7 linked regions of the Oryctolagus cuniculus genome follow. The protein of the gene in region 1 purifies or fractionates together with the protein of each later gene. This does not show direct contact. Links are inferred from orthologs where the notes say so. Each region holds a gene or a part of one and is shown in the gene's direction. Other genes may lie near its edges.

Region 1 (4,276 bases):
AACCAGGAGCTCTGTGCAGGTGTCCCACGTGGGTGCCGGGGCCCAGGCACTCGGGCCGTCCACTGCTGCTTTCTGGACCGGAAGTGGTGTAGCGGGGACTCTAACTGGCGCCCATCTGGGATGCCAGCACCGCAGGAGGCGGCTGAACCCTGACCCCACTGAGCTCGCATGCAAGTCACCCGCCCCCCCTGGGCCAGTGTTTCTGTGGGCCAACTACTGGAGGTGCCGGCTGGAGGCCACCGGGGCCAGTCCCAGCAGTCAGGCAGGAGCAGCCGCCTGGAGTGGCCTCGCTGCTGCAGGGGGCTCCGGGGAACCTGACGTCCAGTCTGGCCTCAGGTCACTCAAGTGGGCAGAGGGGCGGAGTCGGAGCACAAGGGGCAGAAAGGCGGGAGCAGGGCGCTCCTGGGGCTGGGGGATGCCTCACACGGGGGCCGCAGCCGGTGCTGGGGCAGCTGGGCAGCACCGCTCCCGCCGGGGTCCCTCCTGGGCGCCACAGGCACCAGCTCTGGTCCCGGTGACACCCCCTTGTCCTGAGCCGTTCCGAGAATGAGCAGCAGGCCGAGGGGTTGCCCCAAGCCCTGCAGCTCCTCGAGGCGCTGGCAGGAACTGCAGGGAGTGGGCGCCAGGCTCCTCCTGCCCCCCTCCCCCGCCTTCCCGCAGAAGAGCTAGGAGCACATTGTGTCCACGAGGTGCAAAATCCACCTCTGACCCGTGAGCCCGAGAACCTGGTTCCAGGCCTGACTGGTGCCCGGGGCCCCAAAACCTGACCTCCAGACGTTGGGGGTCAGGAGGCTGGATGGAGCAGAGTGTGGCTGGGGATGCGTGCCCTGGTGCTCGCCTTCAGCAGGCTGGGGAGCACGCGGAAGCCCCAGAAGATCGCCCTTCTTGGGCCCCCCCCCCCGGGGTGTCTGGAGGGGACCAACCCCGTCGGGATGCCTGGAAGAGCCCCCCACCGTCTCTGCGGGCAGAGCTCAGGCACAGGGATCCAGAGCTGCCTTCGGCCTTAACTTTGGAGTCCGTGACCTCCTTCGCAAGGACGCCCAGACCCCACGAAGCTGGGACCCAACGCTGACTCCGGCCAGCGCCCAGCCTCACCCCGCGTCCTTCCTGCGGGGGCCCGCACGCCGTTTCCGCGCTCGCAGCCTACAGGGCTCCCTCCGGATCGGGGCGGGGGCGGGGGCGGGGGGAGGTGTCAGCTCCAGCCCCGGGAGCCCCCGACCCCCGTCTCCTTCCTGCACACGACCCGCTCGGGTCCTTTCCTAGGTCGGTCGCGAGGCATCTGCGGGGCAGGGGACGCCGGCACGTGGTGCCCGCTGGCGACAAGACGACGGGTGGCCTTGGGTGGCGGGGACCGAGGGGCGAGGGGCCGGGGTCCGGCGTTGCGGGCGCGGGGCGGGCAGTGCGCAGGAGCTCGCTCGCCCCGCCCCAGCGGCGAGGCCCCGCCCACCGAGCGGCGAGGCCCCGCCCCGCCGGGTTGCTAGGGGAAGTGACGTCACAGCACGATGGCGGCGGTTCCTTTAGGCAGCTGAAGGGGGATTTAGGCCCGGAAGATCCGAGTCCATCCGCGGCGGGGAGAGGGCGAGCTGGGCCGGCACGGGCCGGAGCAGGGGCGGCGGCGCTCGAACTGTCCCATCCGCCCCGTATTGAGGCGCTGGGAGCGGTGGAGCGGCCGGAAAGCTATGGTGAAAGCGGGGCCGTGAGGGGGGCGGAGCCGGAGCCGGACCCGCAGTAGCGGCAGCAGCGGCGCCGCCTCCGGAGCTCAGACCCAGGAAGCGGCCGGGAGGGCAGGGGCGAGCGGGCCGCCGCCATGGAGCTGAGAGTCGGGAACAGGTACCGGCTGGGCCGGAAGATCGGCAGCGGCTCCTTCGGAGACATCTATCTCGGTGAGGCCCCGCGAGCCGCCGCCGCCCCTCCCCCCGGCCGCCCCTTCCCGCGGGGGACCCGCACCCCGCAGCTGTCCGAGGCCGGGCGGCCGCGGAAGGCGGGGGCGAGGGCTCAGGAGCCGCCGGATCGTGGCCAGAAACCATCGGCCGCTCGGCGGACAGCGGGGTCTGGGGGTGGGCAGGACGTGGGGGGGGTCAGCGAGGCCTAGGGGGAGGGGACAGCGGCGCCTGGGGATGGGCCGGGCCGGGGGCGCAGTGGCACCGAGCAGTGGGACGAGGTCCGGTGAGGAGGGGGCTGGACAGCAGGATCGGGGGCGCGGGGCCTCCGGGAGGGGGTGCCGCCGGGTCTAGGGGTCTCCGGGCCTGGGGGCGGGCAGGGCCTGGAGCAGGCAGGGGGCAGGGCCGGGCGGCAGCGTCCTCCGCTGGCCTGAGGTCGCCGCCGTCAACAAAGGCCACTGTCCCCCGTCTGCGGTGGGTCTGGCGCCTGCTGGGGCACCCGCATCCCCGCACTGCACACGTGTGGGCGAAATGTCAGCATGACCTGCGTGCTGGGGGCGGTGGGGGGGTCCCTGTCAGAAACGGCTCCTGGTGGCTTCCGCTGGCCCCCTTGCAGGTAACTGACCGGCCGCGGGCCCTGTGGGCCGCCCCTCCCCCCCGCGCACGCACACACACGCGCGCACACGACACCTTAGTCCCCAGTAGGAGGGCGGAAAGTGTTGTCTGGGCCGGGACGCGCCCCGCAGCCATTTCCGGGACCTGTGGGCCCTCGTCCGTGCCCAGGTGTGGGCCCCGGCAGAGGCCAGTGACGGGTCGGGAGGCGCACGGTGCGGGATTTCCCGGGAGCTTGGTTCCGCGGTGGAATCCCGTTCCTGAGTGACTCCGAAGCCCGGGCCGGCAGGTGCACTTGCTGTGAAGGGCGGGTGAACAGGCCCTGCCTCTGTCCTGCGCTCCGGCCGTCGAGGGCGGAGGTGGTCGTGAGGACCTCTGGGGCCTGGGTGCTTCCAGGCCGCGTGGATGTCTGAACCTGAGTTTCTCCCTTAATAGCCTGCTGAGTAAAACATGCTTCAGAGGCATTTTAAATATTTATTCTAAGTAGTCTGCCAGCTGCGCGCTCAGCAGTGCCGGGAGCCGGAGTGCCGGGTAAATGGAAGTAGTTGGCTTATTTATAGAACAATGGATTTTTGGCAAAAGTTTTAACCTCAGGATTTGGGATCTACACCGAAAAGCCAGCCCATCAAGCACCCTTCCGTGGGCATCAAAAGGGGAGGCTTTGACACTTTGTTCTGCGGCCTGAGACGGCTTTGTGCTGTCAGAGGTGGGTTCAGCCAGTCCAGTCGTGGCACGGTGGTCACCAGGCGACTCACGGACACGGGAGCTTCCTGTGGAGTGGAAGCCCAGTGAGGCGCCGTCCTCGGCTACCCCGCTGTGCTGGCTGGGCACGCCGTGGCACTGCGTACAGTCCGGCTCCAGAGGCCGCTGCCTCTCACATGGGCTGTGGCCCGCATCCCTCAGGGCACGACCCGTCTTCCTCCAGCAGCGTTGGCGCTGGGCCCACGGCTGACCCTCTGAGGACAGGCTGTGCAGGCTGGTCGTGCCTGTGTCGGACTTGAGGTGTCGCGACCCCTTCTCGTGTGGCGTGAGTGCCCTTGACCCTGCCCTCCTGCTTTGAGCTCCTACCTGGCATTTCGTGTGCTTCCAGGTGTTTGGAGCTGGAAGGAGGGAAGGCAGGGGCGGGGTGGGGCCAGCACCCTAGGGCTATTTGCCAAATGCCTGGGCTCCGGAAAGTGTATGTGCTGGGTTTGGGCCGCTAAGAAATTCAATGTCAGTTGTCAGTCTCAGCCTGCCGCATCCAGAAGTCTCTTCAGAAGGGCAAGCTGGCAAGGTGTGGCAGCCCGCACACCTGTGGAGTGGCGCTGGTGTGGGCCGTGGCTGTGTGCCCCCTGCGCTGGCACTGTGGTGGCCGTGTATGTCACCATGTGCTGGAGGTGGGGGGTGTCCAAGGCAGTGGAAACCCCTTTCACTCCTACACACTTGCTAGCCTCTGAAAACAGAGGACGTGTTCCTAGTGTGGACCGTGTGTTCCCAGCCTGGCATCCCAGGGAAGAGGCCGCGCAGGCTGGCGGGGCCCGGCACGGCTGAGCCTCTGTCCTCCGTCGCGTTGGTCTCCAGAGGCAGGCGGTGGGAGCTGAGTGCCGGGAGGGGGGCCCTCGCCGGCGGCTGGCGTTGGTCTCCATCCTGGGGAGGGGCCCTGAGCAGCCTCTTTTGGTTTTCACATTTCCCCCGGCTCAGCTGTCTCTGGAGCGGCACCGCGCGGGGTGTGTAGCACGCAGAACCCCACAGTGCTGGCGGCCTGGAGAGGAGAGGAGTTCCCGATTCTTCTTCCGGCATCGCCC
Region 2 (4,285 bases), about 52 Mb from region 1:
CTGATGGGGCACCCAGCAGGTTTCAACAGTGGATAGAGTGCTGGGTGAGTTCTGGAGGGCCGCCTTCTCCGGACTGCAACATGAAGATTCAGCAGTACAGGAAACCCACGCTGTTTGACAAACCCGTTGGCTCCTAAGAGCTAAGGGTGCTATATGTTAAAAATAGACTTCCAGGGTTGCAGAGATGCAGCTGCTGGCAACACGCATTCCATATCAAAGTGCAGGTTAGAATGCTGCTCCACTTCCGCTTCCGATCCAGCCCGGGAAGGCAGCAAAAGATGGCCCAGCACTTGGGCCCCTGCAGCCACATGGGCGATCTGGCCCAGCTCTAGCCATTGAGGCTCTTTGGGGGGTGGGGGTGTGAACCAGCCGACGGAATCTCCCTCCTTGTTTCACTCTGCAGACCCGCGGACTCGGGCCGTCTTCCGCTGTTTTCCCAGGCCATTAGCAGGGAGCTGCATCCGAAGAGGAGCAGCCAGGACTCGAACCGAGGCCCATATGAGGTGCCAGCGTCACCTTTACTCCCTACGCCACAACGCTGGCCCCTGAAATCTTTATTAAAATTAAAAAATATTTTCTCAGGACTCTCCCCGGAGATTGTTGGGCAGGTGATTCTTGTGATTACGAGGTTTCTCCACGTTTCTCGAGGGCTCACTATACGCCAGGGGTTTGCAGCTTAACTCCTGAGTCCCTTCCGGGTTTAGGTCCCCGCGGTTCTTAGGATTCGCCCTCTTCATGGTGTTAGGGACCCGAGTTCAGACGTTAGGCCCATTACTGACGTGTTAGTCCGGACAGATTATGTAACTTCTCTGGCTCGCACTCCTTTGTGGGGGTGGGGAGGTAGTAACAGAGCTGGCCTCGGAGTCCGCGAGACGAAACGACCAGGAGAGCGCTATCGTCTTCATCGCCCTCATCGTCACGCACGTTGAGATCTGAGGAGGGCCTCCGTCTCATACACCCTCCAGCTTCGGCGGCCTCACGGATGCAAGGCCGGAAGCAAAAGAGTCGTGGGCGCTCTCGTCACGCCCGGGTCTCCGCACAAAACGCCTCCACCTACGCCACCGCCGCTGCATCTGCGCCTGCGTGCAGGGCCCGCTCGCTGCGCCTGCGCACACTCAGCAGTCTGTGCTGTGTGTCGTCAAGGAAAATCCCCAGCTTCTGGGTAAACAAGTTGCCGCGTGAGGCCGCCGGCACGTGTCCCCTACATCTCCGAGACCTCTCAGCCTATGAAAAAGTTTGGAGAGCAGGACTGGCATTTGCGTCACGGCCCTAGGCAGGTCGAGGGTTGTCCCCACAGCCAATAAGAATTTCGGCAGTGGATGGGGGCGTATCTTCCGGCCAGGCTTCCAATCAACGCGCCGGGGTGGCCCCTCCCGCACGTGGAAGGATCACTGCCGGTTGGCACACTGACCAATGAGAAGAGGCCGGCGGCCGGAGGCGCCAATGGAGGCTGTGCGGGGGCCGAGCGGCTGCACGCGGCGCGGGGCATGGGTCGGTGCCTGTGAGCCAATGAGCTCGGGGGGCGTGGCAACCCGGCCAGTGGGCGGGTCGGGAGGAGCCTGTGGAGTCGCTAGGGTCCGTCCCAGTTGTGGAGAAATTTGGGTTTCTGCGTGCGCGCGGAGCGGTGAGTGCCCAGGGGTGGGGAAGAGATGAAGGGCGGTCGATACGGGCTTTTCCGGGTCGTTGTGTTGAGTTGGGGGAGGGACAGAATGGAGGGGAGGAGAGGAAGGAGGCAGCCTGCGAATGCGTGATCCTCGCAGCGAGAGCTCTGATGGCCGTGAGGAAGGGAGACCCAGAAGTCGGGGTAGGGGTGGGAGTTGCTGTCATCACATCCCTGTGCCTCTTAGGATGCCTGGACCCCTGAGTGCCCGGGGAGGGGCTCAAAAGCCCTCCATGATCTGAAAGAGCTGAAGCCCCTGCTCCCAGCGAGACTCCTGAGAGCTGACGGGGGTGTTCCAGTGCATGGCTGGCGTTTGGGGGCGCCTTAAGGACTGGAGGGAGGCAGAGCTCTGAGGCTGGAGACCCTGGCACCTTGGGAGGGTACTGCGGGGTTAGCATGGTGATTTGAGAAAGGGAGGTGCGATGACTTACTCTGGGTGTCTCTCCCAGACCATTCTTGGGAATAGAAGCAGGCCATTAGCAAATGTTGAGTTCTGAGAGGGAGGACAGGGTTGCGGGATGTGCAGTCTGGCTGTGTCCATGTCTTCCAGGGCCCCTGCAGGTGGGGAGGCATTAAGAGGGTGCTCTGGTGCAACCAACCAGGCCTGTTGGAAGTGGGTTCCTAGGAAATCACTGGAGCTTCTGGCTGCTAGAGTGATCCCAAGGACTTTGTGAGCTCGGGGAATGGGCTATTGCGATGAGAAGTGTGTGGGAGTGCACACAGAATGTCTCAAGATTGGGTCCCGGGCAGAGGAGGGGTTGGATGAGTCTGTGTTCCAGGCAGCAGACTTAGAATCTAAGCTGGGTACAAGAGGCCTAGGTTTGCTGGAATGCAGCTTAGAGGCCGGCTGAGACCTCCCAGGTTCCCCAAGGGTAAGACGCCAGAATGAGAAGCCATTGTTAGAGCTCGGATTTGAACTCTGCACTCCATTTGCTAACAGGCTCAGAGTAAGCCGGGAAGCAGACACTTTCGGCCGGTTCAGTGCCTCCTTGGCTTTAGTTGTTCCCACGGAATGGGGATAATAACACCCATCCATCTGGAAATTAAATCAGATAATGTATATAAAGTGCTTAGCACGATGCCTGGGTCATTTAAATAAAATGTAGCTTTAAAAAATTGGCTTTAGGGTGACAAAACAACAGTGGCAGGGTGTGCTGTGCCTGGGAACTGTGCGCGCATTCTCATGTTTTTCTGGAAGTTTTTGATGACTCCCCGTTTCCCTCTTCCTGGTCTGCAGGCACCAGCCCAGATTCCCTCATTCCTCCCTTCCATCCCTCTCCCAGCATCCAGGCCCCAGACTGGGCCACTGCTCTGTCCCAGTTTGATTTCCTCATCCTACACCCATTCTCTCTGCTGCCCCTCCTCCCTCGCTCGGTTTCTGCTGCCATAGGAACCAGAGATTCAGGCTCCGAAGGGGGCCTCCGGGAGGGAGCAAAGGTGCCTGTTCACTCGCAGAACCTGGGCCTCCGAGCTCCCCCGCCCCGGCTGCTGGGCACCGGGCCAGCCGATGTGTACAGTATGGGGAAGGGGGAAAGCCAGCGCCAGAAACTGCCGGGCACAAGCCAAAGGGCTGGCAGACGCCGAGTTCTGGACCGAGAGCCAGGCCTGGGGGCGGCGGCGGGGGACCCCTTCCTCCTAATCCTCTCTCCAGGAATCTCTGGCTTTGGGACAGGACGGCTGTCGTTAGGTTTGGGGGAGGCGCCCAAGCTGAGTGCATGTCCTGGGCCTCCAGCCAAGAGAACACGATGTTCCCAAGTGCGCTGGCCGCCGCCCTGTGGGACTGGCCGCCTCCCAAACCGCTGCCTCTCCAGCCTCTCCAACCTCCCTGCCCCACATTCCCCGGCCGTCTCGCCCCGCCCCCTTCCTCCGCTTTGACGTCACCGCGGGTCCCCGCCCCCGTCTCCAGCACTGACGGCAGCAGCGGGGCCCGGTTACTGTGGGGACCGTGAGGCCGAGCGGCCGGGGGCTGCCGGGGCGCCGGGCCCTTTGTGCAGAAAGAATACGGAGACGGAGGTGGAGATGGGAGCGATCGCACCTAAATCCCCGAGGAGCCCTGGGCGGGGAGGAGAGCCATGTTTCCGAGAAGAGGGGTCTGCGGCGAGACAGGCCCGGGGCCACAGTGTATGAGCGTGGGCCGGCACGCGCGTGTACATTTGTGTGTGTATTGGGGGGGAGGTGTCGCAGGTCATTTTTTAAGAAGTCTGTTTTCTGTCTCCCTGGTTCAGTTTTTCCAGGTTATTTTACAACACCCCACAGGGCCCTCCCCTCTGCCCCGCCCCCCCGCGGGGAACATGATTGTTAAGGAAAGCTTAGACCACGTGACCGTGCTGGGGCTGCACCCACAGCTGATTATGTCAGCAGCTGCGTGGGGGCCTCCACTTGCTGCCCACATGTCCAGGGAGCCCTGGAAGGAAGGGCACCTCACAGCCCTGGTCTGTGCGACCACAGCCTCCTGGACCCAGACTGGCCCTTTGCCCCCCAAATCAGGCCCCCGTTCCCTTCCTAGGACTCCGTGTTCCGCTCCTCCTCTCTCTAGAAATTTCCCGTGGCTTCTTCACCACTGAGGCCCCTCGCCGTCTTTCCTTGCCATCCTTGTTGAAAACAGAATCATCACGTTTACCGACC
Region 3 (4,012 bases), on another chromosome or scaffold:
CGGTTCTCTCGGGGGCTGCACGGGTTCCCTTAGATGTTCCCCATAGATGTTCCTGGTGCATGCCGTCTCTCTCCTCCTTTATAGTCCTCCTCCGCCAATCCCAACTCGGCTGCCCACATGCCGAGTACGCTGCTCTCCTCCAATCAGTAGCAAGTCCTACAGTTTATTGGTTGAACTGGAGGCAGCTGTGCGGAAGCTGTTTACTTCTCTCCCAGCGCCATATTGTGGGAGAGCAGATGCATAGAATAAGTCTTAATTCCAGTAACTCAGTCTAGTCCGGTTTGCTCCCCACACATATCTGTGATCACAAACAATGCATTAGGATACCAAAGGAAACTTGCACTGAAAACGCAGTGTTATGTCGCCTTTTAATGTGGTAATCTTGTAAATGGCCAAAACTCTATTGCAGAGGTCTGACCTTTATTTATTTGATAATTTCTGAATTCAAAAGAAACAGTACTCACAACCATTTAAGTACCTGTATGTGTAGATAGCCTTGTTGAGAAAATGTGGTGTATGCGATTGTATTTCCAATGTTTTCTAAAGTTTAGAGAAAATATTTGCTAAATATTTTTGAGAAGGAATTATGGTGAGTCCCTATTTCACTTAAATCCAGTCATTTTGGTAAAAACGGATTTCATATTTTAGAGCTCCCAGTAGCAAAACTGTGTTTAGTCTTCCTAAAGCAAGATAGCCTCCCTGAAGAAAACCAACCAAGTTATTAAGCAAATAGTTTTTAAAAATTCTAAACGTGTTAAGGAAATATTATGAGATGACTAGTGATGCACTCCATTTACTTAATTTGAAACATCAGCTGGCCCACAGTCTAAGGGCAGTACATCAGGCCTGAGGATTACTATTTTATTCTATTCTACACAAACATGTAGAAAACACTTCCAGAAACGCAGCCTATAAATAATATTGCAATAGTCCATTTAAGTATTTGAAAGTTAGCAAACCGAGAATGGTGCCCAGAGCCACAATGGTCGGTATGGGTTGGCTACCAAGTGGATTATCACACTGAGGACACAAACTCCAGGTCGCGAGAGTCACGCGGCCTGAACTGGGGTCCTAGGCTCTGATCTAGGGGAGCCTTCACCTGGGGGCAGGTGCGGGAAGGCGGTAGGGGTGGCGGGACGGGGCTTGGGCGGGGCAGGTGAGACGGGGCGGGGCAGAAGCTGGGCGGGGCGTTGGAGGGGCGTGTCCCCTTCGGTCAGCGACACGCGCTCTCGGTCGCAGCAACTCCCTGCAAGTTCCCTCCCTCGCTCTCCGGCGGAGCCTGCCGGAGCCCTCCCACTCGGTGCAGACCGAACCATCGCGGCCACCGCCAGCAGCTGGGCCCTGCGCGGCCGCGCGTCCTGGGCCGGCTTGGCCAACCCTCCCTGCTCCTTGCCCGCAGCCCCACGGCGGCGTTGGCGGCGGTGAGGACTCGGCGGCCCCAGCAGCCCGCCCTCGGCCCTCGGTCCTTCTCGGGCCCAGACCGTCCCTCCTCGCCGTCTCTGGAAGCCTGACCGCCGGCTTGGCCCGCGCCGCCCCGAGCCAGGGAGCACGGCCGAGGTAAGACTGGGGGTCAGAGTGCTGCTGCAGGTTCGGGGTCCGGGTCTGGTGGCCGCGCTGCGCTCCGTCAGTGGACAATGCCTAAGCCGCGCGCGGGCGGAGCGAAGCCGGATCTGCTCCTGCAGCCTCCCCGCCCTGCCCTCATCTCCGTCTAGCCCGGCATGGGGGCTTCGCTGGCCCTGACGGACCGGGCCGGGGTTCCGGGGAGGCGGGGGCGCCCTGCCCGCCCTGAGCTCCGGGCCGGGCGAAGCCGACTGCGCTGCGTAGCCGGGCTGGGCCCCGGAGGCGCGCCGGCGGGTGTCTGTGGAGGAGTGGGTCGGCGAGGCACCGGGGCTCTCCTCCGCCACCGCTGCTTGCCCCATCTCTGATTTCCGTGCCAAATACTTTGGAAATACCAGTATCTCCTCATCCCTGGCTGGGAGTGAACTGCAAGGTATGCAGATTCCATGGCTCTGAAAGTTTGTTTGGGGTTATCCCCTCCAGTGGCTCCCTCGCTTGTACTTTCTTTGAAAGCATACAGATTTGAAATATAATTAAATTACCCTTGGCTCACGCTTATCCCCATCCCCCGGCGGAGCTCACAATTTGGCAACAAAGCGCATGCCAGCTGTGGGAGCCCGGTGGCTGCCCTGCCCGGCCTGGTGCCCTCCTATTGTCGTGAGATCCGGAGCTGCACTGTGTAAATGGCAGTGACAAGTCTCCTAAGCTGGCTTGAGGAGAAGATAACTTGATGCGTGCTTAAATTACTCTGGACAGTGGAAAGAAAGCACCTGGTGCTGGGCTAGTTAACCCTTTCAAGACGTGACTCGGATTTGCTAAGACACTCGCACACAAACATGAGGCTTTCTTTGCTGCCTAAGATACCGATAAACTCTGCGGGTTTTCTTCACAGCCAAGTTATGTCCCGTGCAGAATCTGGCACACATCTGTGACAACATCGCATGGCTGGCGTTGTAAGGACTGCACACTGGTTTATTTTTGAAGAGGAGAGTATGATTGTAGAACAAGCATTTTTGCAATATGTTTAGAGTCATTCCCTGGAATAGAACCTCTACCAATTTATTGTCCTCATTTTTTGCCATTGCAACTTGTGGTCATTCAGATGTGCTCTTTCATAAGTATAGTTATTTTAACATAAGGGCAGGTTCATGGTAACCTGGAATTCTTCAGTGGTAAAATCTCATGGCTTTGTGCTATGATAGTTGACCTGTGGTATTTCTGGAGGTGGTACACCATGAAGTCACTGACTGAACGGAGAGACGGCAGTGCTCTGCCAATCTGATAATCAATAAAATGCTTAGAGCAGGACCCAACATATAGCCTGAAGTAAGTGTCAGTTAGCATTGTTTTGAATTGTATTATATATAAGTCCATGTGTTTTTTGGTTTGGAAATTGATGGTTTTGGGTTTTTTTTGTTACAGGTCTTTTGGCTCAAGTCTGGTTTAATTTTGGGATGGAATCAGGGGTGGGTGGTGGTTTTACTTGTGCCTGGCAAGCTGCTCTCTATGTTGGTAGGTAAGGGCTGATTTAGAACTTCTCACGTAGTGGCCTGCAAGGACCATAGCTATGAACCCACCCCTGTCCTGGTGCACTTTATAATTAGGAGACCTCAGAATCCTTCACGGGCCTGATTGTCCAAGGAGAGGCCCAGATGTTAGGGAAAATCTAGGGTCTGAGGGTCTGAATCTTGTCCCTGAACTGTGCCCCCCTCTCCCCTACTCTAGGTTGAGAGTAATGATTCCTAGTTGAAAGAACATGTTGGCACAGCAGCGTTAAGTGGGTCCCATTGTGGTAAAAGGTAATTACAGATCGATAGATCTGCTAAAAATACATCAACCAGAGCCTATCAGTCTTATCCATGGTTTATAGTATTTAGAACAGGATTTGTAGTCTAACTGGCCAGGAAAAGAAAAATCAAAATGGTGTGTTTGCTGCCTGTTGGTAAGCAGTGGGTGCTAACTGTTTAGCGATTTTGAAAGACCATCAGGGATCAACTCTCACTTCAAGCTCCTCTCCTCGCTAAACGGTGAAGTGACATCTTTTTCCTTCCTCCATAACTTCCTAGCTAAACAAGGCATGGTGTTAACTGCTGGGGCCTGAGGAACCACAGCTGCTGCAGGCGCCGTGAGGTGGCAGTAGGTGGTGCTGTGGATAATGCTGGTGGACCAGCAGGGATTACTGTAGCAGTCCGGTTGCCTGTGCCTCTCCAGAACCTATTCTTACCACGCAGATTTTTCAGGAATACAGGTTTTGTGCTTTTTGAAAAGTTTTCCCTTTGTATTTTTAACTGTTTTTTTTAGGGTAGTTACCTGGCTGGGCTTTTCCTCTTTGAAAACCATGGTATTGCAGTTAGACAGACAAGCCTTGCAGAAATATTATTTAGGCAACTGTATCCTTGACTTTGATTTTTCTGTATTTGAGTCAGGTTGGTCACTTCCACTTGGAGGACCCCCA
Region 4 (4,216 bases), on another chromosome or scaffold:
ACATGCCTGAGTACGTGTGTGGCACATATGCACACATGCCTGAGTACAGGTGGGGCACATGCCATACACCTGCGTATATGCGTGGCACACCGTGTCCTTGGCCAGGGCAGCCCCTCCTGCCAGCTGGCCCTCCTGGCGGCTGTGTCCTCACCTGCAGCGGCCGGGGGGCTCTCGCCGGGCACAGGCGCCCTCACTTGCTGACTCGTATTCCTGGGCGGCTGATGCCTCTCTCCGGGCTGCCCTGGGGAGGGGCGAGACAGTCAGGGTGGCCGGGCTGGGAGACCCCCCGCCTGACGACCTCAGGAATCATTTATGGGGCCCCACCGCGTCCTCCTGCAGGCCCTCGGGTGAGGGAGACAGCGGGCGTGCTGCAGCCCCAGGCAGGGGACCCTGCTGGTCAGCCTCACCCACACCCTGCCCCCTGCCCAGCACCTGTGCCACCCCCACCCCAGGTGCCTCCTGCTTCCGTGTGTCCAACTCAGTGCTGTCCTGGGAGGCGTCTGTCCACCTTCTCCTGAGGCCTCTGGGGCAAGGTCTGGGCAGGAGGGGGTGTGCGCCGGGCAGGGCTGGACCAGGCGAACCCGTCCAGCCAGTGTGGCAGAGCTGGCGGCTGGGCAGGACCCTGGGCGTCGCTGTGAGTCAGCACCCAGCCCCGGGCTGGGGAAACGCTCGGGAGGGGGCCTTTGGAGTCTGCCTTCCAGACAGGAAGCCTGGGGGGGGCTGGCCTTGCACCCCCCAGCCCCGGGACCCCCACCCAGGATGGTCGTGGGAGGCCCCTTGCCTGGCCCCCAGCCTCCAGCCGTCTGGCATGGCGCAGGAAAGCAGGCTGGGGGCCCTGTCTCCGCTTCCGGCACTGCCGCCAGGCCCTCGCCACAGGCCACCACGCTGGGGCCAGGGCCTTCCTCTCAAGTCCCCCACAAGCTCGAGCCCTGTGGGGCTCCTTGGAGTGTCCACCTGGGCTTGGTCCACACAGGGCTCGGGGCAAGCCAGGCTGGAGCCGCCCATGGCCAGCGGATGGGCTAGGCTGTGGCCAGGGAGAGTCTGAGTGTCCGTGGTCCGTGGGACTAGGACACAGTTTGAGTTTCCCGCGACCAGGGGTGGGGCAGGGGAGCCGGTGGGGCGGGGTGGGGGCCTCGGCGCCGCCCAGGGCAGGCCCGGGCACGGCGTGGCTGCGCACCACCGTCTGGCTGCGAGAGCCGCCTCCACTCTGTCTCCCTCCCAGGCTGGCCTGTGAGGCCTGTGGCCCGAGAACCCCCGGGCCCTGTGTCAGCACGTTAGTCAGCCTTCTCGGCGGGTGAGCCACCGCGCCGCCGAGTCCCCATAAACTTGCTGGCGTGGCCCGGCCCTGCCGAGTGGGGCCCGTGAGGGCCACAGGCAGAGCCAGGGCCCAGAGCCGCCGGGCTGCGGGCACGACCGAGGGGCAAGGCGGGCGCACGGGGACTACAGGAGCCTGGCACGGGAGCCAGCAGCCCTCTGGGGCCTTCCGCAGGTGCCCGCTGAGCTGGCCGACGGAGGCGCGCGGCCGCCGAGCCGGGGCCCTGGGAGCGGACACCTGGCGGAAGGGCCATGTCTGGCAAACGAGGCCGGGCTCGCAAACCCCGAGCCAGGAGGGCGGGCAGGGCCCAGCGGGCGGCAGGGCGGCAGGGCACAGAGGCCGAGCTCCCGCCCCCTGCCACAGAGGGCCCTCAGGGTGAGACGGGGCTGGCCCCTCCAGGGCACGTGACCAGCATCCAGCTGGCTCCCCAAGGATACCCCAGGGCAGCCGGGCCAGAGCAGCCCCAGGCAGCCGTGAGGCCAGAGCAGGCCGCCGCCCTGGGGTCCGAGTGGGTGCCAGTCCCGGCTGAGCAGATGGAGGGCTGTGGAGCGGGGGGCCCCTTGCCGTCCCTGGGCCCCGAGCTGCTGCGGCTCCACGAGGTCCAGCTGTGCCTGGCCCAGGAGCAGCTGCTGCTGGAGGAGAGGCGGCGGCAGGTGCAGCTGCAGAGCCAGCTGTGGCAGGAGGAGCAGCTGTGGCTGCAGCAGCTGCAGGAGGAGCAGGCCTGGGTGCACATGGAGGGGCTGCAGCTGGCCGTGGCCCTGGAGCAGCTGCGCAGTGCCGGCCTGGAGGTGCTGCAGACCCAGAGCCAGGTAAGGCCTGGCGGGCAGGGGCGCGGGGGGGCTCCGGCGGGGGGCGCCCACGGCTTGTTCACACGCTTGGCAAGGGAGGCTGTGCCCGTCGCAAGGCAGCGCAGACCAAAGCTTGGTGGGTGGAAGACGCCGAGCCGGGGAGCGCGGTGCCCCTGCTGAGGACCCGGCTGTGGGGGGCCGGGGGAGGGGGCAGGGCAGGCCGGTCGGAGGCTGTGAGTGCTTCCTGGTCCGCCCGCCCTGCCTGTTTATTGCTGCTCACATGCCCAGGGCTTGGGGTGGCGGAAGCAGCACGCGGCACCTGCACTCATTACCTCATTCCAGGAGGGGCGGCCTCAGACGCCGCTGGGGCTATTTTGGGGAGCTGGGACCTAACCCTGCCCGAGGTGAGGCGCAGTCGCCACCAGACCCTGGGACTCTGGGAGCTCTCTAGGGGCAGGGCTCAAGCCAGGCCCCTGCACGAGGGCTGCGTCTGGGGAGAGCCCAGGGCAGGCCCGAGCGGCAGAGGCCGGGAGCCGCCGCCTGGACAATGCATACGACAAAGCTGGGCTCCTCCGAGCACTGCCCAGGCCCACCCCACCTCGGGGGCTGTCACAGTCAACCCAACTCGGACACCCACTGAGGCCACGTTCCGGGAAGGGGCTCCAGACAAGGTGCCGTGGGGAGATGTCCAGGGGTCTCCCAGGCCAGTGCCTGGTGGCTGTGCCCTGGAGGTCAGAGGCCACACTCACCAGCAGTGGCTCTCGGCTCCGGCCCAGGCAGGAGTGTCCGCCATGTCCCTGGCGCAGCCACGGCCCCTCCCTTCTTACCGTTCATTCTCCTGGAGTGGGAAGGGAAGGCCAGGGAGGGGGTGCTCAGCGTGGCCGAGGTCGGGGCAGGGGGACAGGCCCCCCCATGGCTTCCCAGGGGTGCCCAGCAGCTGGGCAAGGCCTTGGGTAACAGCTCGTCCCCCTCAGCCCCAGAGTTCGCTCCCACACTCTGGGCTTAGCCCACCCCGCTGGCTTCCGGGGTCTGCTGCCCAGTACAGGTCACCCTCTCCAGACCACAGGGGCCACGAGGGCACCAGGCTGACCCAACCCTGGCCCCAGCTCCACGCCCAGCTCCCCCACCACCCCTCGCACCCTGGCCCCAGCTCCACGTCCCCGTTCTCCCCACAGACCCCTCCTACCCTGACCCCAGCTCTCCCCCCAGACCCCTCCTACCCTGACCACAGCTCTCCCCTCCCAGACCCCTCCTACCCTGACCCCAGCTCTCCCCCCAGACCCCTCCTACCCTGGCCCCAACTCTCCCCACCCAGACCCCTCCTACCCTGACACCAGCTCTCCCCCCAGACCCCTCCTACACTGGCCCCAGCTCTCCCCCCCAGACCCCTCCTACCCTGGCCCCAGCTCTCCCCCCAGACTCCTCCTACCCTGGCCCCAGCTCTCCCCCCAGACCCCTCCTACCCTGACCCCAGCTCTCCCCCCCAGACCCCTCCTAACCTGACCCCAGCTCTCCCCCCAGACCCCTCCTACCCTGGCCCCAACTCTCCCCACCTAGACCCCTCCTACCCTGACCCAAGCTCTCCCCCCAGACCCCTCCTACCCTGGCCCCAGCTCTCCCCCCAGACCCCTCCTACCCTGGCCCCAGCTCTCCCCCCAGACCCCTCCTACCCTGGCCCCAACTCTCCCCACCCAGACCCCTCCTACCCTGACACCAGCTCTCCCCCCAGACCCCTCCTACCCTGGCCCCAGCTCTCCCCCCCAGACCCCTCCTACCCTGGCCCCAGCTCTCCCCCCAGACCCCTCCTACCCTGGCCCCAGCTCTCCCCTCCCAGACCCCTCCTACCCTGACCCCAGCTCTCCCCCCCAGACCCCTCCTAACCTGACCCCAGCTCTCCCCCCAGACCCCTCCTACCCTGGCCCCAACTCTCCCCACCTAGACCCCTCCTACCCTGACCCAAGCTCTCCCCCCAGACCCCTCCTACCCTGGCCCCAGCTCTCCCCCCAGACCCCTCCTACCCTGGCCCCAGCTCTCCCCCCAGACCCCTCCTACCCTGGCCCCAACTCTCCCCACCCAGACCCCTCCTACCCTGACACCAGCTCTCCCCCCAGAC
Region 5 (3,500 bases), on another chromosome or scaffold:
GCCCACGACAGAGCCCTGGGCTGCCGGCACTGAAGAGAGAGATGGAGGGGGAGGGGCTCAGGGAAGACTAAGAGCAGCCCATGAGCTGTGAGGTCACCAAGGCCCAGGGAATCCCCGGAGGAGAGACAGGAGCCGGCCATGGTGCTGTGCTGCTGGGAGAACAGGATGCGTGTGGGGTACGTGGCGTGGAAGATGGGAGGGACAGCGTGGCCGAGTGGAGAAGCCAGGAGCCAGCAGGTGGGCTGGAACGTGGAGGCGGGGGTGAGGGAAGTAGAGAGAGGTGGGTTTTGAAGGAGCACAGTGGGCCCAGGTGGGGAGGCCCAGCCGCACTGCTGTGTCCTTTGCTTTGTATATTTGAGCGAGAAGAGTGTTCTTGGAGTGGAAACTGGAGAGAGAGAGAGAGGAGAGAGGGAGGTTGAACAGACAAGGGGAGAGAGGGGAGGACTCCGAGCCAGGTCATGGGAGGGGAGGAGAAGGGTGGGCGTGGATGCAGGTGGGGGTTCAGTGACTGCAGGTGGCTACCTGGTGGCTCGTGTTGCCTTCTCGTCTGCTGAGGGGTGGAGCTGGGAAGTGTGCAGTGGAGGCCTGGGCGGGGCAAGCAGTCTGTCACCGGGTGCCAGGAACCGAAGGATGGGCGTAGGGGTTGCGCAGGAGGACACTTGCACAGGTAGCAGGGAGAGCCTGGTCAGGACTCGGAAGCCCGCCCTCCCCGGCCCCCAGGTGAGTCGCAGAACCTTTGAGCCTCGGTGCTCGTTTTCCAAAGGAGGCAACGACAAGGCTCCCTCGCGGGGCCGTGCAGATCTGACGGAGAGTGCGTGACGGCAGCCGCGGCCTCGGGCGGCGTGGGGCAGGGCAGTCTCAGGAGGCCCTGGTGACCAGAGACGGGCCTTGTTTCTGTAGAGGAGAAGCCTTTCCTTTCCTCTGATGGTTGGAGTCCACTCAGTCTTTTTCCAGTTCTTGGCTGTCTCATTTCGCTTCATCTCAGGGGAGGGGAAATGCTGTTATTTAATAGAGAAACAGCTGAGGGACAAAGTTTACACTCATCCGCAGCTTCACTGGCGAAGTCAGGGCCAGAACGCAGATCCACAGCTTCCGAGGAGTGGCGTGAGCACGGCGTGCAAGCCCTGGCCCCGTGGCTCTCCGTTCCTCCGTAGCACCCAGCTCTTTGCTTTGTCACCTTCCCCTTCCACAGGCGTGGGTTGCCAACTATGAGAGACCCCGGATGAACGCCAACTCCCTGCTGGCCAGCCCCACCGGCCTCAGCCCCTACCTGCGCTTCGGTTGCCTGTCCTGCCGCCTCTTCTACTACCGCCTGTGGGACCTGTATAAGAAGGTGAGAGCAGTGCGGCCTGTGTGCCTTCCCCGCTTGCAGCCAAGTGGCCCTGGGCCTCCTGCGTTTGCCAGTCACCCTGGAAAAGGTCCCCATCCTGTCCCTGGAGGTGGGGGCCTGTGTCATACATCCCATAGTCCAGAGTGGGTGGGGAAGGGTCAGTGCGCAAGGGCTGGCAGAGCCACGCGCCCAGTGAATCACTGATCTGCATCCATCCCCTGTGGTCCTGTGGGGCAGAGGAGGCCGCGGGGGGCCCAGAGGTAGCAGGTCCACTGGCTGGGGGTGGATGTGCACCAGAGCCCCAGCGCGGGACGATGGGCAGGTGAGGCTGGAGCCAGTCCTGCACTGAGCACAGCTGCCCTCTGGGGCTGCCCCCAGAGCACTGAAGGGACTGTCCAGGGGCTGCACCTGCCCATGAGCGCTGGGAGAAAGGCTCGAGGCAGGGGGAGAGAGTTCATGGGGGCCCGGCCATGGGGACCAGCAGCCCACAGGCATCCCTGGAAGGAGAAGGGACAGGTATCCAGTCCCCAGTCAGCGGCTCTTCCTTGGGGCTGCGTTTCTGACGTTTCCCTGTCCTTGCCAAGGTCATGAATTCAGGCCACTGGTAGCTTGGCAACTGGGGGGGGGGGGTAATCTTACGGTTTTAGGAAAATCATTATTTGCTTAGAGATCTGATCCCTTTTGTAAACAAATTATTATTTTATTATCGATTGATAGATTTGAGAGTCACAGGCAGACACAGAGCCCCCATCCCCTGGTTCACTCCCCAGAAGACCACAACGGCTGAGGCCGGGCCGGGCCAGAGCCCAGAGCCAGGAACTCAGTCCAGGTCTCCCAGGTTGGGGGGCAGGGACCCAACCCCTGGAGCCGCCACCTGCCACCCACTGGGGCGTGCGTTAGCGAGAAGCCGCGGTTGGGAGTGGAGCTGGGACTTGAACCCTGGCACTAATATGGAAGGCAGCCATCGCAAGTGGCATCTTACCTGCTGCACCTCTCGTTCCTGGAACTCCTGGAGGCTGGTCTCTTAACTCCTCCATGGACCCAGCCTGCGTGTGCAGCCTGTTTACCCCATGTCTGGACCGAGCATTTTATGCACTCTGATCAGAGAACTCCCCTTGACTATCTAGAAAGTGCAGCCAACCACCGTGGCCAGTCTTGGCAGGCTTGATTCCTGCCCACCCTGCCTGGCTTTCTGCAACCACTCTGGTTTTTTTGTTTTTTTTTTTTTAAATATCATTTTTTAGACTTACTAACTTCTCCCTGTAATGATTCCCCTTACATTCCCTACACATCTTTTTTAAAAGTTTTTTTCTTTTTTAAAATGATTTTATTTGAAAGGCAGAGCGAGAGAGAGAGAGGGAGACACGGAGATCTGCCATCCACTGGTTCACTCCCTAAATGGCTGCAGCAGGCCAGAGCCGGGAGCCGGGAGCCAGGAGCTCGTCCAAGTCTCCCGTGTGGATGGCAGGGGCCCAAGCACTCAGGCCATCTGCTGCTGCCTGCCAGGGCCGGGGCTGAGTCTGCAGGTGCGCTGCGCCGTTTCTTCCAGAGGACAGGCCCTCCGCCTGTCTAGGAGGTTTGGAGTCTGTAGGGACCTGAGCGGCCTGGCGCAGCGAGCCGGGCAAGCGTTCACGTGTCCGTGCCGCCCCCGCCCTCAGGTGAAGCGGAACAGCACCCCTCCCCTGTCCCTGTTTGGGCAACTCCTGTGGCGTGAGTTCTTCTACACGGCAGCCACCAACAACCCCAGGTTCGACCGCATGGAGGGGAACCCCATCTGCATCCAGATCCCCTGGGACCGCAACCCCGAGGCCCTGGCCAAGTGGGCTGAGGGCAAGACGGGCTTCCCCTGGATCGACGCCATCATGACCCAGCTCAGGCAGGAGGGCTGGATCCACCACCTGGCGCGGCACGCCGTGGCCTGCTTCCTCACGCGCGGCGACCTGTGGGTCAGCTGGGAGAGCGGGGTCCGGGTGAGTGCCCGCTCCCTCTGCCGAGCCCAGCTGTGGGCTGCCCTCTCCGGGCGGGGGGATGGCGTGGGAGCCTTCCGTGGCTGGCCCTGGGCCCCTGGGGGAGAACCGTGGCCGCGGATCCCCGAGGAGTCTGCTCGTCCCCGCCCCCGCCCAGGTGTTCGACGAGCTGCTTCTGGACGCCGACTTCAGCGTGAACGCGG
Region 6 (3,500 bases), on another chromosome or scaffold:
TTTAATTTTTATTGATGATTGAAGAATTCCTTGAGCTTGGTTGTAATATGTTTTTCACATGTCCACATGTGTTAAAGTTTTTGTTATAGGGGCCAGCATTGTGATGGGTTAAGCCACTGGTGGCAATGCAGGCATCCAATATGGGTCCTGGTTTGAGTCTTAGCTGCTCCACTTCTGATCCAGTTTCCTGCTAATGTGCCTGGGAAAGCATCAGAGAATGGCTCAAATGCTTGGGCTCCTATATTAAAGTAGGAGACTAGGAAGAAGCTCCTGGCTGCTGGCTTTGGCCTGGCCCAGCCCTAGCCATTGTGGCCATTCAGGGAGTGAACCAGTGGATGAAAGACCTCTTTGTTTCTTTCTCTCCCTATCTGTAACTCTGCCTTTGAAAGGAATAAAATAAATCTTAAAAAAATGTTTTTGTTATTGTTTTTAGGCTACTATAGCTGCTTGATTTTTTCACTCATAAGTCGTTAGTACTCTTCATCTTAAAGGTTATGGTATTTGCATAGTGTATACTTTTGACATCTTGCAGATATCTACAAAATGAAGAAAATGTGTTTTAGACTCATTAACTATTTGAATACATTTCCTGGTCATGTAAGAAATTGTCATTCTATTAGAACTCTTATGTGATTAATTATTTTCTGATTTTAAGCCTTTTTTAGAGCTCATCACACCAATGTATCTTATATTAACTGCTCTTTATTAACTCTTATAACAGGATCATAGAACTCAATGGTGGACAACCGCCTCTCACTTATAAAAGATTTCAGACTCTCATCAGCAAGATGGAACCTCTAGAGATCCCAGTGGAGACAATTACTTCAGAGGTGATAGAAAAGTGCACAACTCCTGTGTCTGATGACCATGATGAGAAATATGGAGTCCCTTCCCTGGAAGAGCTAGGTGGGTGTGAACTGTAATAAATGTGGAACTTAACAGTTTGTAAGTCATAAATGACTCATAAAATTTTACCTCTGATTTTTCCACATGAAGTATTAATACATTAAAAGGGAAACGGTGAGGGGGGAAAGAAAGAAGAAGAAAACTGCTAAACTAAGAAATGATAATTCTGTAGTTATTTATGTGCTCTCTCTATATCTGTTGCTATCACCTTAAGATGTACATCCTAAAGAACAGAGACTATGTCATAGCATCTCTCCAGGCCCTCAATTCGCTCATGCTGTTCTCATAATTTTTCTGCAAAATAATTGTTTTCACAACTGTGATTAAATAAAAAACGTTTTAGTTCCAGAAAATTGATTATTTGTTTTTTTGTAGGTTTTGATACAGATGGCTTATCTTCTGCAGTGTGGCCTGGTGGAGAAACTGAAGCACTTACACGTTTGGAAAGGCATTTGGAAAGAAAAGTATGACAATTTAGATCATCTAGCCATGTTTTATTTCCAAGCTGGCATTTTAAAAATAATTTCATTCTCTTTTAAAAACAAAAAGTAGAATGTTGAAAAAGAAGAGTTCAGGGAAATAAAGTTACACAAACCTAAGTATTTGAAAATTAACTACCTCATTTAAATGCCCTTTCTCCTGCTTTTCTGATTATTTTTCTTGGTTATTTCCTATCTTTCTACTTAACCTGGTTTCCGATGACCATAATTTTGGAATTAGAATAGAATCCTCTGTTAACCTCAGTGGGCAGTGGAAGGTAATCTCAGGCATGTGTTGGGAGTTTGAAGGTTATGTGTTTCACATGAGTCTGTGCTGCATGATAATTGAAATGAAAGAATGCTTACTTTTCTTTCATGTTTAATAAACATATGTAACTTGTGGCTTGGATAATAAATTATTCCCAGAGAACTGGGAAACTTTTATTAAAAAAAAAATCTGTTTTGAATACTGTGTTTAAGTGGGAAAGACAATGTGATTCTTTCTGTGTTTTCAGGCTTGGGTGGCAAACTTTGAAAGACCTCGAATGAATGCTAATTCCTTGCTTGCAAGCCCCACTGGGCTCAGTCCTTATTTGCGATTTGGCTGTTTGTCATGTAGACTATTCTACTTCAAACTGACAGATCTCTACAAAAAGGTACTTTTTAAAATCAGTGCTTACCTTTCAAAATACATTTTTAAAACTTGCTGATAATACTTCTTTGCCTTTTAATCATAGGTAAAGAAGAACAGTTCCCCTCCTCTTTCTCTTTATGGGCAGCTATTGTGGCGTGAGTTTTTCTATACAGCAGCAACAAATAATCCACGCTTTGATAAAATGGAGGGAAACCCCATCTGTGTTCAGATTCCTTGGGATAAGAATCCTGAGGCATTAGCCAAATGGGCTGAAGGTCAAACAGGCTTTCCGTGGATTGATGCCATCATGACACAGCTTCGTCAGGAAGGGTGGATTCACCATTTAGCCAGACACGCAGTTGCTTGCTTCCTGACACGAGGTGACCTCTGGATCAGTTGGGAAGAAGGCATGAAGGTAAGTGTTCTAAGAACTGTAGCCAGGTCTTTGAAGGAACTCCAGATGTTGTATATTGTACAGATTCATTTATAATCTAGTGTTTCAGTGAATAAAACTTTTAATCACCACAGTATAGGCATACTTTTGGACAGCAGGATGGTATAATCAGACAGGAGAAATGCTGAAAACTGGCTAAGACAATAGACCTAAACTCATTTAAATGTTTAAAGCAGGCTGTGATTTAAGAGAACTGTAAGATTTAGCATTCTGGAGTTATCGTGTAGATATATTTATATGTATTCATTTCTGTCACAAAAAAGATTTGCCTAAGAATTCTCAGAAATAGTGAATTTATATTATAAATCTTAGAATGTAAATCATTTCACCTTACTTCAACATTGTAACTTTTTAGTAATATTTCTGTTATGTAAAGTGAAACATACTATGTTTTATGATATCATATTGTGGTTTTATGTAACAGGATTTACAAATATGTTCTCCCTTTCTGACATTATTATAAATTTTCCCTATCTAAGGACCAATTTTGAGCCTTTTTTTACATCTCCTTTATTTCCTTGTACAAAATTGTATATAAAGATGTGTAGCAAAAACTTAGTCAATTTATAATCATTTATTTAACTCTATTTTTTGAATCAAGAAATTTAAAACTTAAATTGTGTAATATTAGTACATTTTTAAAGTACATTTGTATTTAAGTGTGCTCCCTTTATCTAGGCCACTATGCCAAGCTTCTAAGTTTTTGTTGGTGATTTATTTGGTAGTGGTTTTGCTTTTTTGAAAGTGGTTTACTGTTTTTTCTCTGTTAATATCCTATCTTTTAAACCAGTGACTCTAGTAATTTTTTTACCCTTCCCCCAGTAACACTGCAAGGATTGGAAAAGTAAATTCTCTAATCTATATTACCAATATTTTTCTTTCCCTGCTATTCCTCATTATAGAACAAACAAGGAAGCTAACTGGAATGTTTTGATTTTACAGTTTTGTGCTAATTTTCTTTGCCTTGACTTTTGATCTACAGTGACCTCAAAAATGCTTGCTTTGAGAATTATGTGTGTGCAAACTA
Region 7 (3,500 bases), on another chromosome or scaffold:
AGCGCCAGCCCCTGTGTGTGTGTGTGTTGATTACATAAATAATGTTGAAATAAACATGAAATTCATTTGTGTTTTATATATACCTCATACCCATAGCCGAAAAATAGCTTTATACAGTATTTTTAGCATACCTGTGTTGTTATTGCAGCCCCTCACGTGAGATGCAGTGTTGAATTTCATAATTAGGACATCATGTCAGTGCACAAAAAGTTCTGGACTTTGACATTTCCAGTCAGGGCTGCCCAGCCTGTAGCACAGGGACCAGAGAGATCCAGATCTCTGGGAGACACATGGCGTAGGCCTCGGGGGTTGCCATGGTGAAATGGGCAGGTCAGAGCATTTTGAGCAGGGCACTTACAGCTGTGCCCTAAACTTCCAGAAGACCCTTTGTGGAAGGAGACTACAGAGAAACACGGTAGCAGCAAGCAGGGAAACGGGGTAGGAGATTGTGACAGGTGCTCACCCCAGAGCTCCTGGCGGCTTACACTGCAGTGGATGTGTCAGCTGAGGTGGCAAGACGAGGCCAGGTGGTCAGATGCTCGATGTCCTGTCAAGGAAGAGCCCACAGGACTGCCCCAGTGCATCGGAAAGCAGCTGAAAACGGAGGCGTGAAGGATGACTGCAGGATTTGGGGCAAGGCACTGGTAGGGAGTGGTTGCCATTAGCTGCGATGGCAAAGGCTAGATGTGAGTTGAGTGGGGAAAGTCGAGAGTTTGGTCCCAGACACGGGAAGCTGAGATGTCGGTCAGACATCCGAGCGACCACATGGATAGGCAGCTGCGTGTGCAGGAGCTGAGGGCTTCCGCGTTCCAGTGCCCTGTCAAGTCGCGAGACCGGATGCAGTCCCCAGGGAGGTCAGGAGCGAGGGGAGGGGAAACGGTAAGGGGCTGAGCCTTGGTCCTGCCGGTTCAAGGGGTCTAGTGCAAAAGAAGGGTCTTATTCACTTGAACACCTGCGGGTGAGTGGCCAGAGGGGAGGAGGCTCTGAGAGAGGACGGAAGTGTTGGCAGGAGCAGGGAGTTCCCGTCGTAGTCAAATACGTGTGACTCTACTGACCTGGACCAGAGCTGTTTTGTTAGATGGGAAGCAAAAGCCTGCTTGGAGCAAGCTTGAGACAGAACGAGGAGAGAAACAGGAGACTGAGTGTGGATGTTCATGTGTGAAGAGGACCTGCAGGACGAGTGGAGAGACCTGAGGGGCATCTGAGGGAGAAAGAGCAGGCCTGGCGGGCTGTGAGCAATCAAGGAGGCCGTCTAGAGGGGGCGGGACCTGCTCAGCACTGTCCTGGAGCAGGAAGAGCAGGGTGGCTCAGCGTGCGGGGAGGGGGCGGCCGAGGCAGGGGGTGGCCGAGGCAGGCGCTCCGCAGGCCTGGGCTCGGCTCGGGCGCTGGCAGTGGGCAGCGGCGCTGGGAGTGCGTGCAGCATTTTCTTTGGTTTGCTTCACTTCTTCACTTGAAGGCGTCTTCGTTCTTTTCTTCTTTCTGCGCGGTGATTATCGCAATAGAGAATGTGTGCACAGTGACTCAAGGGACTTGGGAGTACAAATCTGGTGTTGATAAGGGAGACACCTACAGAGCCGACAAGAGCTTGTAATCGTCCCATAGTGAACTTTCCCCAGGAGCGTCCGGCTCTGTCCAAACACCTGAGTTCTCACTGTGTCTGGTAGACCCTGATGCCCCATCAGGAGGTGTTGAGTGAGGCACCATCGTCAATGGAAGGGAGGAAGGGAGGAGAGCCGGGGCCACTAAGGTTCTTTCCGCTTCTGCTCTAGGACCCTGGAGAAGATCGTTACGTTTAAAACGTTCGTCACGCAGCTGAGCCTGGCCGTGTTTGATGACCTCAGCCACCACAGAGCGTCCGCGGAACTTCTGAGGCTCACGCTGGACAACGTCTTGGTGCACGCGGGCCCTGGGGCCAGTGCGCTGCCCGGGGAGGAGCCCGCCGCTGCCCTCTTCCAGCTGCACTGTATAGAGGTCTACTGTGGGGACCTGCAGGTGGACAACCAGCTCTACAACAAGTCCAACTTCCACTTTGCGGTCTTGGTCTGCCAGGGAGAAAAGCCAGAGCCCACCCAGTGTTCCAAAACGCAGAGTCTCCTCGCGTCCGGCACCGACCTGGAGGAGTACAAGGAAAACTGCTTTATCAAGCTTTACGTCACCTTAACCGATGGCAAGAGCTCTTGGCTTGATATTAACGAGTTCACCTTTGAACTGAAGCCCGCCCGGCTGTACGTGGAAGACACGTTTGTGTACTACATCAAAACCTTGTTCGACTCGTACCTTCCCAGCTGCAAGCCGGGGGCGCCCTGCGGGGCTCAGCAGGAGCTGCCCGCACAGGTGACCCAGCACGCCAGGGCCCTGGTGAACCCTGTGAAGCTCCGCAGGCTGCTGATCCAGCCGGTGAGTCTGCTCGTCAGCATCCACGCCTCCCTCAAGCTGTACATCGCCTCCGACCACACGCCTCTCGCCTTCTCCATGTTTGAGCGAGGCCCAGTCTTCACCACCGCACGGCAGCTCGTGCACGCCCTGGCCATGCACTACGCCGCCGGGGCCCTTTTCCGAGCAGGTAAGGACACCAGCTGAGGGCCTATGGTGCTCTCGGGCCAGGCAAAGATGACACACCTTGGGTTTGCCTTCACTGTCTCGAGTTACAAGGATGCAGTCGGTGGGAGGTGACACAGGGGGCTTTATCATGAAACAGAACAGGATTCAGATCTAGACTCTGCCGCATTAGATGTAAGATTTGGGGCAAGGTATTGAACCTGGCCAAGCCTCAGTTTCCTCATCTGTAAAATGGGTGTAAGAGTTTTCAGGAGGGAGGAGCATAGAGAGAGACACTGGCTTTGGAACATCACAAAGATCCCATCCCTCATTCGTCAGAGAAGTGGTTTGGTGAAGATGGAAAAAGTTCTGGGGTGGAACGAGTCAGCCAAGTGAGTTCACTCACGTCTTTCCCGTGAAGTTGTAAGGTTTCATTTCCTCTCTTCGGAAGCAAAGCACTACAGAGGTGGGAGATTGAGGGGGTGGGGGGGACAGAAAAAGAAAGAGAGTTTTGAGGGGATCAGATGAAAGTATGTCAAGTACGCAGCATTTGGCTTGGCTGTTGGTGAACACGCCGCTAAGAACAGCTGTGATATTAGCTGTTCCCTAACTCGGGCCTTCAGTTCAGTCTAGGAAATGCTTGCTTAGCCCCTTGCTAAAGGGCACTGAGGCCCTTTCTTAGCATCCTAGCACAGCCAGAGAGCCTAGCGCCGGCCCTTCGTTCCCCAGGCCTAAAAGAACTCCAGTTGTAGCTGGGTGGGTTTCTTCCTCGCTGCTCATGAATAGCCGGAGGTGAGGAATTCCGAGGATTTGTGTGCTCCTAAGGTGCACAAAGAGCCCTCTACCTACCGACCCGCTGTGGCACTGCCCGGCCAGCCAGGCGGCAGAGGGACGGCTGTTGGCATCTCGGCCTCTCCAGAGAGCTGAGACCGCAGGGGAAGAAGGGCCCTTGTGCCAGGCAG

The links.
Region 2: the proteins of CSNK1D (region 1) and PER1 purify together in Homo sapiens (affinity purification with mass spectrometry; 4 studies listed by BioGRID and IntAct, counting the BioPlex papers as one, with this or other methods). This does not show direct contact. The link is inferred for Oryctolagus cuniculus from reciprocal best matches to the Homo sapiens genes CSNK1D and PER1.
Region 3: the proteins of CSNK1D (region 1) and FAM110B purify together in Homo sapiens (affinity purification with mass spectrometry; 3 studies listed by BioGRID and IntAct, counting the BioPlex papers as one, with this or other methods). This does not show direct contact. The link is inferred for Oryctolagus cuniculus from reciprocal best matches to the Homo sapiens genes CSNK1D and FAM110B.
Region 4: the proteins of CSNK1D (region 1) and FAM83H purify together in Homo sapiens (co-immunoprecipitation; 5 studies listed by BioGRID and IntAct, counting the BioPlex papers as one, with this or other methods). This does not show direct contact. The link is inferred for Oryctolagus cuniculus from reciprocal best matches to the Homo sapiens genes CSNK1D and FAM83H.
Region 5: the proteins of CSNK1D (region 1) and CRY2 purify together in Homo sapiens (affinity purification with mass spectrometry; 3 studies listed by BioGRID and IntAct, counting the BioPlex papers as one, with this or other methods). This does not show direct contact. The link is inferred for Oryctolagus cuniculus from reciprocal best matches to the Homo sapiens genes CSNK1D and CRY2.
Region 6: the proteins of CSNK1D (region 1) and CRY1 purify together in Homo sapiens (affinity purification with mass spectrometry; 3 studies listed by BioGRID and IntAct, counting the BioPlex papers as one, with this or other methods). This does not show direct contact. The link is inferred for Oryctolagus cuniculus from reciprocal best matches to the Homo sapiens genes CSNK1D and CRY1.
Region 7: the proteins of CSNK1D (region 1) and VPS13B purify together in Homo sapiens (affinity purification with mass spectrometry; 3 studies listed by BioGRID and IntAct, counting the BioPlex papers as one, with this or other methods). This does not show direct contact. The link is inferred for Oryctolagus cuniculus from reciprocal best matches to the Homo sapiens genes CSNK1D and VPS13B.

Annotation. Positions count from the first base shown.
Region 1 is NC_091448.1:745,859-750,134, forward strand, and holds the start of CSNK1D (casein kinase I), read left to right. Parts: upstream 1-1,476; 5' UTR 1,477-1,807; coding exon 1,808-1,883; intron 1,884-2,358; exon of another isoform or gene 2,359-2,496; intron 2,497-4,276. UniProt on the Homo sapiens protein: Essential serine/threonine-protein kinase that regulates diverse cellular growth and survival processes including Wnt signaling, DNA repair and circadian rhythms. It can phosphorylate a large number of proteins.
Region 2 is NC_091448.1:52,646,310-52,650,594, reverse strand, and holds the start of PER1 (period circadian protein homolog 1), read left to right. Parts: upstream 1-1,485; 5' UTR 1,486-1,624; intron 1,625-1,847; exon of another isoform or gene 1,848-4,285. UniProt on the Homo sapiens protein: Transcriptional repressor which forms a core component of the circadian clock.
Region 3 is NC_091437.1:83,119,174-83,123,185, forward strand, and holds the start of FAM110B (protein FAM110B), read left to right. Parts: upstream 1-1,212; 5' UTR 1,213-1,557; intron 1,558-4,012. UniProt on the Homo sapiens protein: May be involved in tumor progression.
Region 4 is NC_091437.1:167,629,806-167,634,021, reverse strand, and holds the start of FAM83H (protein FAM83H), read left to right. Parts: upstream 1-1,416; 5' UTR 1,417-1,566; coding exon 1,567-2,124; intron 2,125-2,852; coding exon of another isoform or gene 2,853-2,937; exon of another isoform or gene 2,938-2,941; intron 2,942-4,216. Other genes in the region: IQANK1 (IQ motif and ankyrin repeat domain-containing protein 1), read right to left, coding at 152-241, 2,853-2,937. UniProt on the Homo sapiens protein: May play a major role in the structural organization and calcification of developing enamel. May play a role in keratin cytoskeleton disassembly by recruiting CSNK1A1 to keratin filaments. Thereby, it may regulate epithelial cell migration.
Region 5 is NC_091432.1:20,094,738-20,098,237, reverse strand, and holds part of CRY2 (cryptochrome-2), read left to right. Parts: intron 1-97; exon of another isoform or gene 98-140; intron 141-1,192; coding exon 1,193-1,333; intron 1,334-2,988; coding exon 2,989-3,300; intron 3,301-3,454; coding exon 3,455-3,500. UniProt on the Homo sapiens protein: Transcriptional repressor which forms a core component of the circadian clock.
Region 6 is NC_091442.1:109,558,288-109,561,787, reverse strand, and holds part of CRY1 (cryptochrome-1), read left to right. Parts: intron 1-721; coding exon 722-906; intron 907-1,281; coding exon 1,282-1,370; intron 1,371-1,900; coding exon 1,901-2,041; intron 2,042-2,122; coding exon 2,123-2,434; intron 2,435-3,500.
Region 7 is NC_091437.1:125,326,540-125,330,039, forward strand, and holds part of VPS13B (intermembrane lipid transfer protein VPS13B), read left to right. Parts: intron 1-1,769; coding exon 1,770-2,563; intron 2,564-3,500. UniProt on the Homo sapiens protein: Mediates the transfer of lipids between membranes at organelle contact sites. Binds phosphatidylinositol 3-phosphate. Functions as a tethering factor in the slow endocytic recycling pathway, to assist traffic between early and recycling endosomes.